Caenorhabditis elegans: one gene and its partners. The protein of the gene in region 1 interacts with the protein of each later gene in a pairwise test. Each region holds a gene or a part of one and is shown on either strand. Other genes may lie near its edges. The genes, in order: ubc-20, mgrn-1 and nhl-1.

Region 1 (3,755 bases):
TAGGACACAAACTTCAAGACAAGAGGCTCACAGAAAAAATTCAAAAAAATCGAATAAAAAAGAATTTAAGAGAAAATGTAGACCGTCGAGCGATTGATGTCCCAATTGTTGCAGCTGAGCACGCTGACAGCCTCTTCCTCACGGACTCCCATATCCTTGAGCTTGTCGACGAGAGCCTGGTATCCGGCGTTTTTCACGGCTCCCTTTGCGAATTTTGTCGTCCAGTACTCGGCGGTGGCCTGAAAAATGGTGGAAATTTAGTATATTAAGAGCATATTAGGCTATTATTCAGTTTATGTTGTCTATGTTTGTCTATTTTCTAGGCTACCTAAAGTTTTCAAGCGTGGAAATTGAGAAAATTCGAATGAAAACCAATTTTTTTTTTGAGATTTCTCGAGTTTTTACACTCACTGGAAACAACGAATTTTCGGGGAAATTCGAGTTTTTAGACTAAAAACAACTTCGCCAAATTTGTTGAGTTTTGGGTCTGCTAAACTTTTTTATAATTTCTTTTTGAAAAACAAATTTCGATATGAGCTGAAAAACTGATTTTTCTCGGCTTCTGGGACAAAAAGTGATGAATTTGAACGATTTCCTGGTTGAAAAACAAGAAAAAACCAGTAAATTCCGCGAAAAAAACTAAATTTAAAGGATAAATACGGGATTAGGGTCTGCTAAATATTTAGCAGACCATACTTGGGTCTGCTAATTATTTAGCAGACCATACTTGGGTCTGCTAATTATTTAGCAGACCATACTTGGGTCTGCTAAATATTTAGCAGACCATCGAAAACCACGTGGCGTTTCTACAAGCCTGCTAATTAGTTGGCAGACCCAAATTCTAAAGAAAATCGGCCAAATTCTGAAATTTCAGGGCAAAAATCAATAATTTTCCGAGAAAATCGTGCATTTCAGTGTAAAACAGTCAGAATTGTCTCCAAAATTCGGGAATTAACGAATTTTGCACGTTTCCCATCGAATTTTCTCAATTTTGACGCTTCAAAACTCGAGTTGGCCTGAAAAATGGGAAATTATAGATAATTTTTGGGGCAAAATACGCAAAAAAACACACAAAATAAGGGAAGATTTGGGTCTGCTAATTACTTAATTACTTAGCAGACCCATATTGATTTTTTAATCGGATTTCGCAATATTTTCCCCATTTTTCCGCGAATTTTCTGAATTTTCCACGCTGCTACCTTGAAAACTGCTGGCTTCTCCATGTATTGCTTGGCGACGACGGCATCTTGAGGATCCTTGGGCTCCGGTGTGCACATCAACGCCTGAATCGACAGGAGAACCGTGCGAAGAGTCAGCGAAGCGGCCCTGAAGTTGAAAATAAATTAAATTTTCCGATTTTAAAATAATAATCGCAATATTACCATTGATCCTTAAGAATATCGAGGCAAATGACGCCGGTCTGCGAGCTGACATTCGGGTGCCAGATTTTTGTGCTGAACTTGACCTGAAAAACCGCGATTTTTACACAAATTTCGACAATTTTCAAGCTTTCCAGGCAGAAAAACTCGTACATTTGGTGGCGAGAATGGATATTGGTCTGGAATCTTAATATCCAAATCGAACATTCCACCGGCGTATGGAGTGTCTGGTGGACCGCGGATGTGTCCCTGAAAACCGATAAAAATTGAGATTTCCGACACACAATTCGCGGCGTTTTACCTTGATTTCGGTGAGATTCTCGTTCAATATCTCGATCATAATTCCGGTTTCGCTGATTTCCGAGTTTGTGACGACCTCTTTGCATTCTCGTTGGAGTCTGTTGAATGCTATGTTCGACATGGTCTGAAAACGATGGAAAATAGTGGAAAAACTCTGAAAAATCGACGAAAATCATGAAGTTCAAGGAATTATCGAAAAAGCTTCGAGAAAGTCTGAAATTATCATCAAAATTATTCAAACACCAACTCATGATAAACAGGGCGCGCCGCGGAATTTCGGAGCATCGTTTGCAACTGAAATTTTTGTTTTTCCCCGAATTTCATCGATTTTTCATCGTTTTTCGTGAATAAAAATCAAAAATCATGTAGAAAAATGTTGAAAAACCAATTTTTATGCGAAAAATTGCTTAAATCACAGTAAAATTGAACAAAAACCCGGAAAAACCGGAGAAAACCGTGCGTTAAGTCGGAGCATCGTTGTCGCCGAGAAAAAACGGGTTCAAACGATCAAACCCGTGATCGGAAGTATCGATTCACAGATTGATTAAGTTTTTATAGGAATTTTAGTTTTTGCATCATGATTTTTCTCAAAAAAGAAAATTGAACGTTTTTGCCGAAATACTTCTAATTTTCTCAAGGTTTAGAGGGAATTTCCATTTGTTTATTGAGAAACCCGTTCAGAAAATATCTAGAATTGATTGAAATCTTCAAAAAAAATCTTGCCAGGGAACAATTAGGTCTGCTAATTAATCAGCAGACCCAAATTTCAAAAATCCGCGTTTTTCTTCGTTTTTTTCCCAATTACTCTACTGAAATTCTCTGTTTTTCAGCCCAAAAATGTCTCGAAGCCGTTCCGCAGCTGCCAGCTCCTCTCAAAAGCCGGACGATATGGACCTAATGTCGCCGGACGGCTCGGCGAGCTCCCCATCGGCCCCAAACACGCCAGCGACGAATTCCGGCGGATTTAGCTCGGATAGAAAGAAGGCGACGCACTTGAGGTGTGAACGGCAGCGAAGAGAAGCTATAAATGTTTGTTGAAGCTTGGAAATTCGTGGAAAAAAGCTAAAATTTCAACTTTTCAGAGCGGATACAGTGATTTAAAGGATTTAATTCCTCAGACAACGACTTCGCTGGGATGTAAAACTACAAACGCCGCGATTTTATTCAGGTACTGGCTGAAAATACTGAAAAATTGAAGGAAAAATAACTGGAAAACATAAAAATTTGGGTCTGCTAAATATTTAGCAGACCATAGTTGGGTCTGCTAAATAATTAGCAGACCATACTTGGGTCTGCTAAATAATTAGCAGACCATAGTTGGGTCTGCTAAATAATTAGCAGACCAACGTGGATTTAGCATACCCAAATTGCGAAATTATCGAATTTTGATGACAATTTCAAGTTTTTTACATTAAAAAGCACGATTTTTTTCAAGAATTTCGTGTTTTTCAGCGGGAAAAATCACAATTCCAGTCTGCTAAGCCCATTTTTTGCTTAAAAACCTTCAAAATTCTGCAAATTTCCCCGAAAATTCAATAATTTCCAGAGCCTGCGACTTCATGTCCCAACTGAAAACCGACATCTCCGACGCCGACAAGCAACTGGCCCAGCTCAACGCACAAGCGGCCGCACTGGAAATGATTGCCTCAGAGTACGAGCAGATGGCTTCTTCGGTTCCTGACGCCGGCCAGTCCACGATTCAAGTCAAAATGGTTAGAATTTACTGAAATTTCCAGATTTTTAAGTCGAAATTCTCCAACTTTCAGCTCCAACTTCTCCTCGACGACTGCTTCACCTCGTTCTCCTCCCAAGTGGACTTCACCACGTACGCAACGATCACCAGAACGCTCCTGTCGTGGGTGGAGAGCCTGGCGCCAAATGCGGAGCCATTCAAGTCGACAGCCGGAAAAATGGTCACAATGCCCTTCACTTCGCCATAGTATTGAGAAGAATTTCCAGATTTTTAATCAACAAATGTATTATTCAACGCGTAAAAATGAAATTTAACAACAAAAAAGAAAATAGTTTGGAACATAAAATTAACTTTTGGTAGTTAATTGAAGAACTCGATCCAGA
Region 2 (3,755 bases), on another chromosome or scaffold:
TGAAAACACCAATTTATTGTTTGACAACCCTAACAACAAAAACCTTGTATCGCAATGAATCAGCACAGTTACTACATACACATAAATGTCGACACGGGAGAATGACGGTATCACGGATATCTGATAAGCAGATAATGCACTCCAAACCACTGTCGTCATCCATTGTTTCAACTGACTTGTTTTCAATTCCGAAAATTTCCTGAAACGGTTAATTTGACAAATCTGGTTGTAATGCATTTTGAAATCATGTGGTTTTACAAAAATGAAGCTGGAAAATCATTTTAAATTCACAAATTTAACTCTACTCATGATTCACCGAAAAATAAGCGCAAATGCAATCAATCAAGAATAGAAACAGTGAGATCAGCGCCAAAGTTTGGAGAATTCCATTTTTTGGTACTTTTTCTCTCGCCTTGCATGTCTTTATTTTGTACAGAATTTTTAATTGGCTAATTCAAAATAATTCGAAATCATACCTGAAGAAGATATGTGACTCCATCACATGCAATTTTTTGTCGCAAAGGTTTCAACACCAACGCTTTACTGCTGTCGTTACCGGTCTGAAAGAATAACAAGATTTGTCGTTTTCCAACATTTTTACAGAAAAATACCTCAATTGTACACATTGTTGTTTGCATCTGAGTGCTCTCTACGCCTGACGTTGTTATGGAAATGACGAATGGATAGTATAGACCAGAAGAATATGAAAGCTGAAAATAGTAATTAAATTGTGTCTGTTTTGTTTCCAAATTTTTTCAAAAAGAATTCTCGAATATAGACTCACATCATTTGTATCCCATCGTGAGGTATCAAAAACATATCCTCCAAACACCTGATCAGCACCCGTTTCGAAATGAAAAGTTTCAGAGCTTTGTGGTCGGCGATTCCGGTATGCAAATCTGAAAAAAATCAACATTTCAATTACTAATTTACTTCAAAAACTTACTGAATTTCTCCATCGTGATACATTTCCTTTGCGTGAAAGTGTACTTGTATCACACAAGCACTGTCACAATCGAATACAAAAGTGAGTTGGTACAGGTTTGCATTCAACTCTCCGTTATCCTTTTTTACCCGTTGAAATTTAACAGATTCTTTTCGAATATTGACAAGAAGGTTGAGTGGTCTGATTTCATCGTTTCCCAACGGTCCAGGTGGATAAGGAAACTGCAAAAAAATTGTTTAAAAGATGAAGCCGAATTGAAAAGGTGCCGATTAGATTTCTTGAAGTTTTCTTCAGTTCAGTTATTAATTTTTATACTTTACGTTTTCATCATTTTTCCATATTGCTCCTCTATATTTCGAATCAATTTTTATCAAAACTTACACTCAGGGCTCTGGAGCCTAGTTGATCCAGATCGCTATTCTCTCCGAATAGGTAGGCCTCGGGTCGTGCCATTTCGAATTTGCAACCGCACATGAGAAAGTGTGATCCGAAGTACGATCCTGTAAGTTGAAGTATTAATAAAAAGCAATTTACAATTTTTCTTCATTTGTGATTTTAATTTGTATTTTTTGGATAAAAAGAATAGACGTTTTCAGACTAAAAACCGAAAGAGAAACATAGTATAACAAAAAAAAAATTTTAATCTGGTCCTATTGGAGAGTTCTATGCTTCATTTCAACCCATTTTATTAAAATTTTAAAATTTCTTCTAAGAAGGAAATATTCTTGACTAATGTAGCATATACTTTCTAAAACTCACCAGCTGCGTTGGAGAACGTTATCTGTGCTTCGGGGTCCTCATCATCGTGCGAGTTTCCCCGCTCGTGTGTGTTCCTCCCCCGGAACACACTGGCTATCTGACCCATAGTTTGGCCAATACCTGTGAATAAAAAATAATTTATTATTTTAGGAAGTTTTATAAATGCAAAAAAAGGAGTAGAGGAATTGTATTAGAATATTATTAAATGGAAATATGAAATAGCAATTGGTTGATATTATACTTCGAATCTCAGAATCACTAAAATGAAAACCAGAACTGCTTCTGCTTGATTTTTAACATACTTTTATGTTATTTGCAATGATTAAAAAATATATATAATACGCGAGAAATTTGAAACTGGTTTGGCTCGATAAAAAATTGGTGAGAAACCCAAAATATCGTGAAAGAAGCGGTGGAATTAAAATGATTTGAGAAAGTAAATTTTGATAATACGAATTATAATTCGAAAAAATGGTGGTACTTAAAATATAGCAAATAAAACAGGTGAGAAAAAGTTTTGAGGTTTTTACTATATTTTAATCAAACCGTTTGTTTTATTTATTTTCAGGCATCGAAATTTTATGTACTCAAGCTTATAGTAAAAATACAAATATTTGATATATTAAACAGAGATAAAACATAAATAACGAGCTCTAAAAAATTAGCATATTTTGGGAATTAAGAAAACCAGTGAAAGCCGTAAAAATGATCTGAAGCTATGAATAAGTTTGGTTAGAGACTCTATTTCTAGTAGATTACTTTATTATAATAATGAGCAGAAACAGATATTTTTTTAGCATTTTTTCACTTCATCATTAAATTAAAATCATTACAAAAAATCGATAGTCCTTGAGAAGAGAGACACCAATTTACAAGCAGGCAACAAACGAGAGAGAGCGTATTATCGTGTAAACGGTATATACGGGAGAAGAGTACGGGAGACCGACGGAAGAAAAGCAATGGGAGGTGTATAGGGTGGTGGCTGTGTTGTGCCTAGGAGGCAGGAAAATATAACGTTAAAAAGTGCAGACGCAGACACACCAATTGCCCCTCAGACTCCAATTCAGCTGTCTCCGTCTCTTCCTCGTCCTCATCGCACACCCTTAGACCGGTTGCTTAAAAGGAGGAGAAGCAAGTACGCAAGCATTACAAACGACGACATTACTGACCTCTTATAATTAAAGTAATAAATTGTGAAAATGTACACCGTTTTTTATGAATTGCATAAAGCGAATTTATTTATAAAAAGTTAATATATATAAAAGCTACATGTTCACTGATCTACAATTTTTGGTTTCAGATTTTTTTGAAATGTTGTTATCAACAGTCGAACTTTAAATTTTTCTTGAAAACTTGATACATAAATTAAAAATTGAACGATAACATTTGGCTAACTTTTTCCATGTTTGCCTTTGTGCAAAGGTTATCACTTGATTATTTATTTTTTTGAAATCTGGAGCAATAAAAAAAAATAGTAAGGATAGAGATAAATACAAACTGAAGCCCTTATGTTTATTACAAGTTATGACAATTTCAGTGTAGTTTTGAAAATATCAAGTATTGCAGTTAAATTTACAATGCCAAAAAATCTAAGAAACATTACGAAGTTTTCATGAAAATACCTCGAAAACTATGAAAATAGATCAAAGAATATCCTTAAATATGAAAGAATTCAGACTTCATTGGGTTTTGAAAAAAAATGGAAGGGAAAAGGAATCTGATTAAAATCAGTTTTTGGCATTGTAGAAGTATACTTCAATAAGTTTGTTTTCAATGATAGAGCTTAGTCAGTTAACATTCAAGTTAACTTGTAATTGTAACCTGGTAATAAAAAATCAAAAGATAAACAAAAAATATTGTGGAATTATCAAATACAACTAATCGGAAAAAGTTGATTTTGAGGCAAACATAGCTTCATCTGCTGTACATTATGAAAATTTTATTGAAGAGGAGTTAATGAAGTGGTACAAAACACGATGAAATGATAAAACATGAACAAAATCGAGTTGGTCACTATACACTAAACAGGACACGTAATAAGAAAAGTCAA
Region 3 (3,755 bases), 9.0 Mb from region 1:
CGCAATAAACTATTTTTCGCAATTGTTATTATATTTCCGTACGCTGAAAAATACCATTTAGTATTAATATTGAAATTACAAAGTCTTCAAAATTTCCAAAAAGAACATACAGGAACATGTAGAAGAATTTCCAGTTTGTGAGTACTGAACTATTTCCAAATTTGATAAAAGTGACAGACTTGTGAAACCAGAGTTGGCTATCGTTATGCATCCAACTATTTTTGTGACATTTTCCAGCTTGTATTCAACGATCTTAAACAAATTATTGGAATCCTATAGTGTTTTGAATAAATAAAACCTCAAACGGTGGCATTGTTGACTCGAGACCCATTTGAATATGTCCATGAATTGTTGTGCAGTTGTCGGGTAATTTGTCCAACTCACATAATGGGCAATAACAATCTGTAAATGATATATTCAAAGTTATCAAAAGTATTACCGATTAGAATGATATTTAAGATTTTTGCATTTGGCAATTGGAAAATAAAATTTAAAACGCAGTTTTTTCCCTATTAGACTTGCACCATCATTTCTCTATTTTGACGGCTCATATTTCGGATTTCTTAAGTGAACTGTTTCAAAAACTGTTTCAGAATATAGATCAATATTTAGCGCGTATTTTGTCAATTAACAAATTTTTGATAAAACCAAAAAAAACCGAGATAAGCTGGACAGTTAGAAGAGAGTAGTAATTTCTTATAAATTTAATTGTTATCCAACATTTTGCGAAATTTCGTCTCTAAACCAAAACTAACTAAAATAGTAATATGTTTACTATTTCATTTTCACTTACCATCTCCAATTACAAAGTGATATAACTGAGTAAAAAGAGCGGCAATAAGTGGCCATTGCATAAATTCCAGCGCGTTACTCTTTTTCGTTGCAACCAGACGATAGACAAACAAAACTTGTGATTAGATTAACCAACTCAAAAACTGCTTTATTTTTTATTATTTCCGCCCACCCTCCGGAAAGCGATTGTCATAGTAACCAGCGAATTTCGCACGCCTTCTAGCTACTGCACTCGCTGGTTTTTTTTTAATGAAAAATAGTCGAAAGGTGGTTAGTGGGAGTTTTGAAGATTACGTAATTATAGAGAGCAGGATGCTGAACTTTCAGATTTTATTCAAATTATATGATCATTAGTTTCAAAAGTTTACCAACAAAAAAGACAAAATAAGTACATACATACGCTTGAAAAATCAAATAATCATGATTTTAAATACAAAAAAAGGAATTTCGGGAAATTGTCAAATCGTCAAATTACCTGAAAAGTTTAAAAAAATGTGCTTTAAAGAAAAATACTCAAAGTGTTATGAAAATACCACAAAAATAAAAAAGAATGAACAAACCAAAAAGGCAAGTTTCAATTGTGACTGTTCTCCATTTTTAAACTTCTTCCAAAAGTATAAGCCACGCCCATTTTCTAACCACTCAACGTCTTCAAACTCTACACAATCGTCCTGATTGGTTGAAAAGTGGGCGGAGCAAATCACTGATTGGTCAAAGTTTTTATTTCGGAGGGAATTCAAAATCGCGGTTTTAATAGTTCGAATTTCCATTTTTCTGCGGTTTATTTTTCGATTTTATTTTGTGGTTTTTTGAATTTCGGACTATTTTTATGTTTTAAAGAAACATCCTAATTTTAATCTACACTTTCAAGCTTCTGAAAATAAATACTGAAGTTCAATTTGTCAATTTCTTCTCAAATATTTCAACGTTCAGGACAGTTATCATAATCTTCGAGAACCAACAAACCAGCTGCATCTTCCCGCCGTTCATATCCTCATATCTTATTGATCTTTTTTTCAAATTCCCATCGGTTTCAAAACTTATGAGTAAATAGTCAAACAAAGCCTAAAAACCAGTAAAAGACTCAACCAAGAACTTTTCAAAATCCGATCCGCGCACCCCACGCACACCGATTGATATCGGCCGCCGCTGTGTTTGCAGGAGATGGCTGGGGGCGTCTTTCGTCTGTTGCTCCCCAGATCTTTCTCCAACTTCTCTGCGTCTCAAATCTTTTTTGGCTCCCGGGAGCACTCGGCACACTCATCCCCAACTCTCCAAGTACACCCCACTTTATTATTATATTCGATTCGTCTTCTCGTTCTATCCTGTTTTTTTTTAATTCGAAATTCCAATATTTCTAAAATTCAATCCTTATGAGCAGTTCTCCACAAAATGAAGCAGAAGCTCGCGAAAAGGTTTGTTCTAAAAAATTTATTTTTTTAAAGAAAATCTTAAATTCGTCGTTTTCCAAACATTTAAAAATTAATTTTGTGGACAACTGGAAATGAAATATACTTTAAACATCTACAAAAAATAATTATTAGAGACATTCATTGAAATTTTTTATCTTAAAAATATTGGTAACCCTATAACGGTCCTTTGAGTTTTAAAACTTAAATTTAAAATTTTTGTCAATTTTCAAAATTTTTATATTTCGTTTAAGCTCCCTATAGGTGCTGTACAAATTTTCTTTATTTCAAATAGACATTGCAACTTTAAAGTAACGTTTTTATTTTTTAAATGAAAAGTTATTCCACTGATTTTGAGAAAAAGTTAAGTCCCTGTACAACATTGATTAGTTGATTAGTGCAATCATCTCTAACCCACATGACCCATAGATTCTTTCAGATGCGCGAGCTGATGTCACGTCCACCATCGAGTCGACCAGCTGATTTTGTGAATCCTCTCGAAAAGATCGAGCAGTTGCTGACGTGTCCGATTTGTCTCGATCGCTACAAGTAAGTCTGTGATCTCAATCAGCTGTTCGTTTTGAAAGTGAGCAGACGAAATTGAAAGAAGAAGCACCACGGACAACCAAAACAAACTATTAGTGTGTAGTTCAAGGATAGACATAGGCCGTGTGACTTCTGACTGACCACTGTTATCATATGACCTAGGCTAAGTACCGCTTGGCTGAGGGGAATTTTTTTGAAAAAACGAGATAGACTTAGGGGATGCATAATAAACATCCGGTTGTTTACGCACTGTGCATCAAAACAATAATAAAATCAGACAGACTGTTATGATGATTAGCTAGGAGAACGTTATGGAGAAATCAACAATCTAAGATCCTGCAGGGATCTTTTAAAAATGAGGATCATTTTTGGGTTAAATCAACAACGTTTGTGTCAATAAATATAGACTAACCTACGTCAGAGTAAAAAGTGGAACATTAAAAAAAAGAGATGTTTCATTGATCTGTTATAGATGAACAAATGTAAACATCCATTTTAAAAACGAGAACCTTTTCTTGTAAAATATTTGAATAATACACTTATAGTCTCAAAAATAAAATAAAAAAAAGTAAAAAATTTGAATAACTTTGCACGAGACCTCAGACAATCATGACAAACATTGTATTTAGTGAACGTAGGGGTAAAGTTTTTCAAGCTTAGAAGGTGTAATACTATGATATTTTTCAACTCGCCATTTCTTGTTCTGTCTTCTCAAGTTTAATTTCTCAAGTTTTATCTTGCTAACTTTTTATAAATCTTTTTGTTTTTGAGAAAGACGAGTAAGAAGAGTTGGCGTAGTATTTTAGCCCACTAGGAGTGTTTTTAAACATTTTTTCTCAATGGCGATTATCTTCAAAACTCAACGTTTTTATTGAAGTTTCCTAATCATAAGTTTGCCAATTTTTTAGATTAAAAGCTCTAGCTTTTGGGCTATAACCCGGTGCTCATTGAAAATTCACAAAAATACCTCCTGCGATAAAAGAAACGTTTCAAATATTTTTTTTTTCA

Evidence for each region.
Region 2: the proteins of ubc-20 (region 1) and mgrn-1 interact in a two-hybrid assay, tested with the Caenorhabditis elegans proteins (one study listed by BioGRID).
Region 3: the proteins of ubc-20 (region 1) and nhl-1 interact in a two-hybrid assay, tested with the Caenorhabditis elegans proteins (one study listed by BioGRID).

The regions. Positions count from the first base shown.
Region 1 is NC_003281.10:186,886-190,640, reverse strand, and holds the start of ubc-20 (UBC core domain-containing protein), read right to left. Parts: upstream 1,804-3,755; 5' UTR 1,801-1,803; coding exon 1,681-1,800; intron 1,629-1,680; coding exon 1,533-1,628; intron 1,466-1,532; coding exon 1,383-1,465; intron 1,327-1,382; coding exon 1,200-1,326; intron 240-1,199; coding exon 66-239; 3' UTR 1-65. Other genes in the region: mxl-2 (Max-like protein homolog 2), read left to right, coding at 2,517-2,708, 2,762-2,847, 3,226-3,391, 3,446-3,619.
Region 2 is NC_003284.9:14,309,859-14,313,613, forward strand, and holds the start of mgrn-1 (RING-type E3 ubiquitin transferase), read right to left. Parts: upstream 1,826-3,755; 5' UTR 1,812-1,825; coding exon 1,706-1,811; intron 1,628-1,705; exon of another isoform or gene 1,571-1,627; intron 1,447-1,570; coding exon 1,328-1,446; intron 1,168-1,327; coding exon 947-1,167; intron 900-946; coding exon 785-899; intron 711-784; coding exon 612-710; intron 561-611; coding exon 477-560; intron 200-476; coding exon 44-199; intron 1-43.
Region 3 is NC_003281.10:9,152,215-9,155,969, reverse strand, and holds the start of nhl-1 (RING finger protein nhl-1), read left to right. Parts: upstream 1-2,067; 5' UTR 2,068-2,165; coding exon 2,166-2,207; intron 2,208-2,640; coding exon 2,641-2,750; intron 2,751-3,755. Other genes in the region: Protein irld-34, read right to left, coding at 1-43, 111-252, 299-402, 794-854.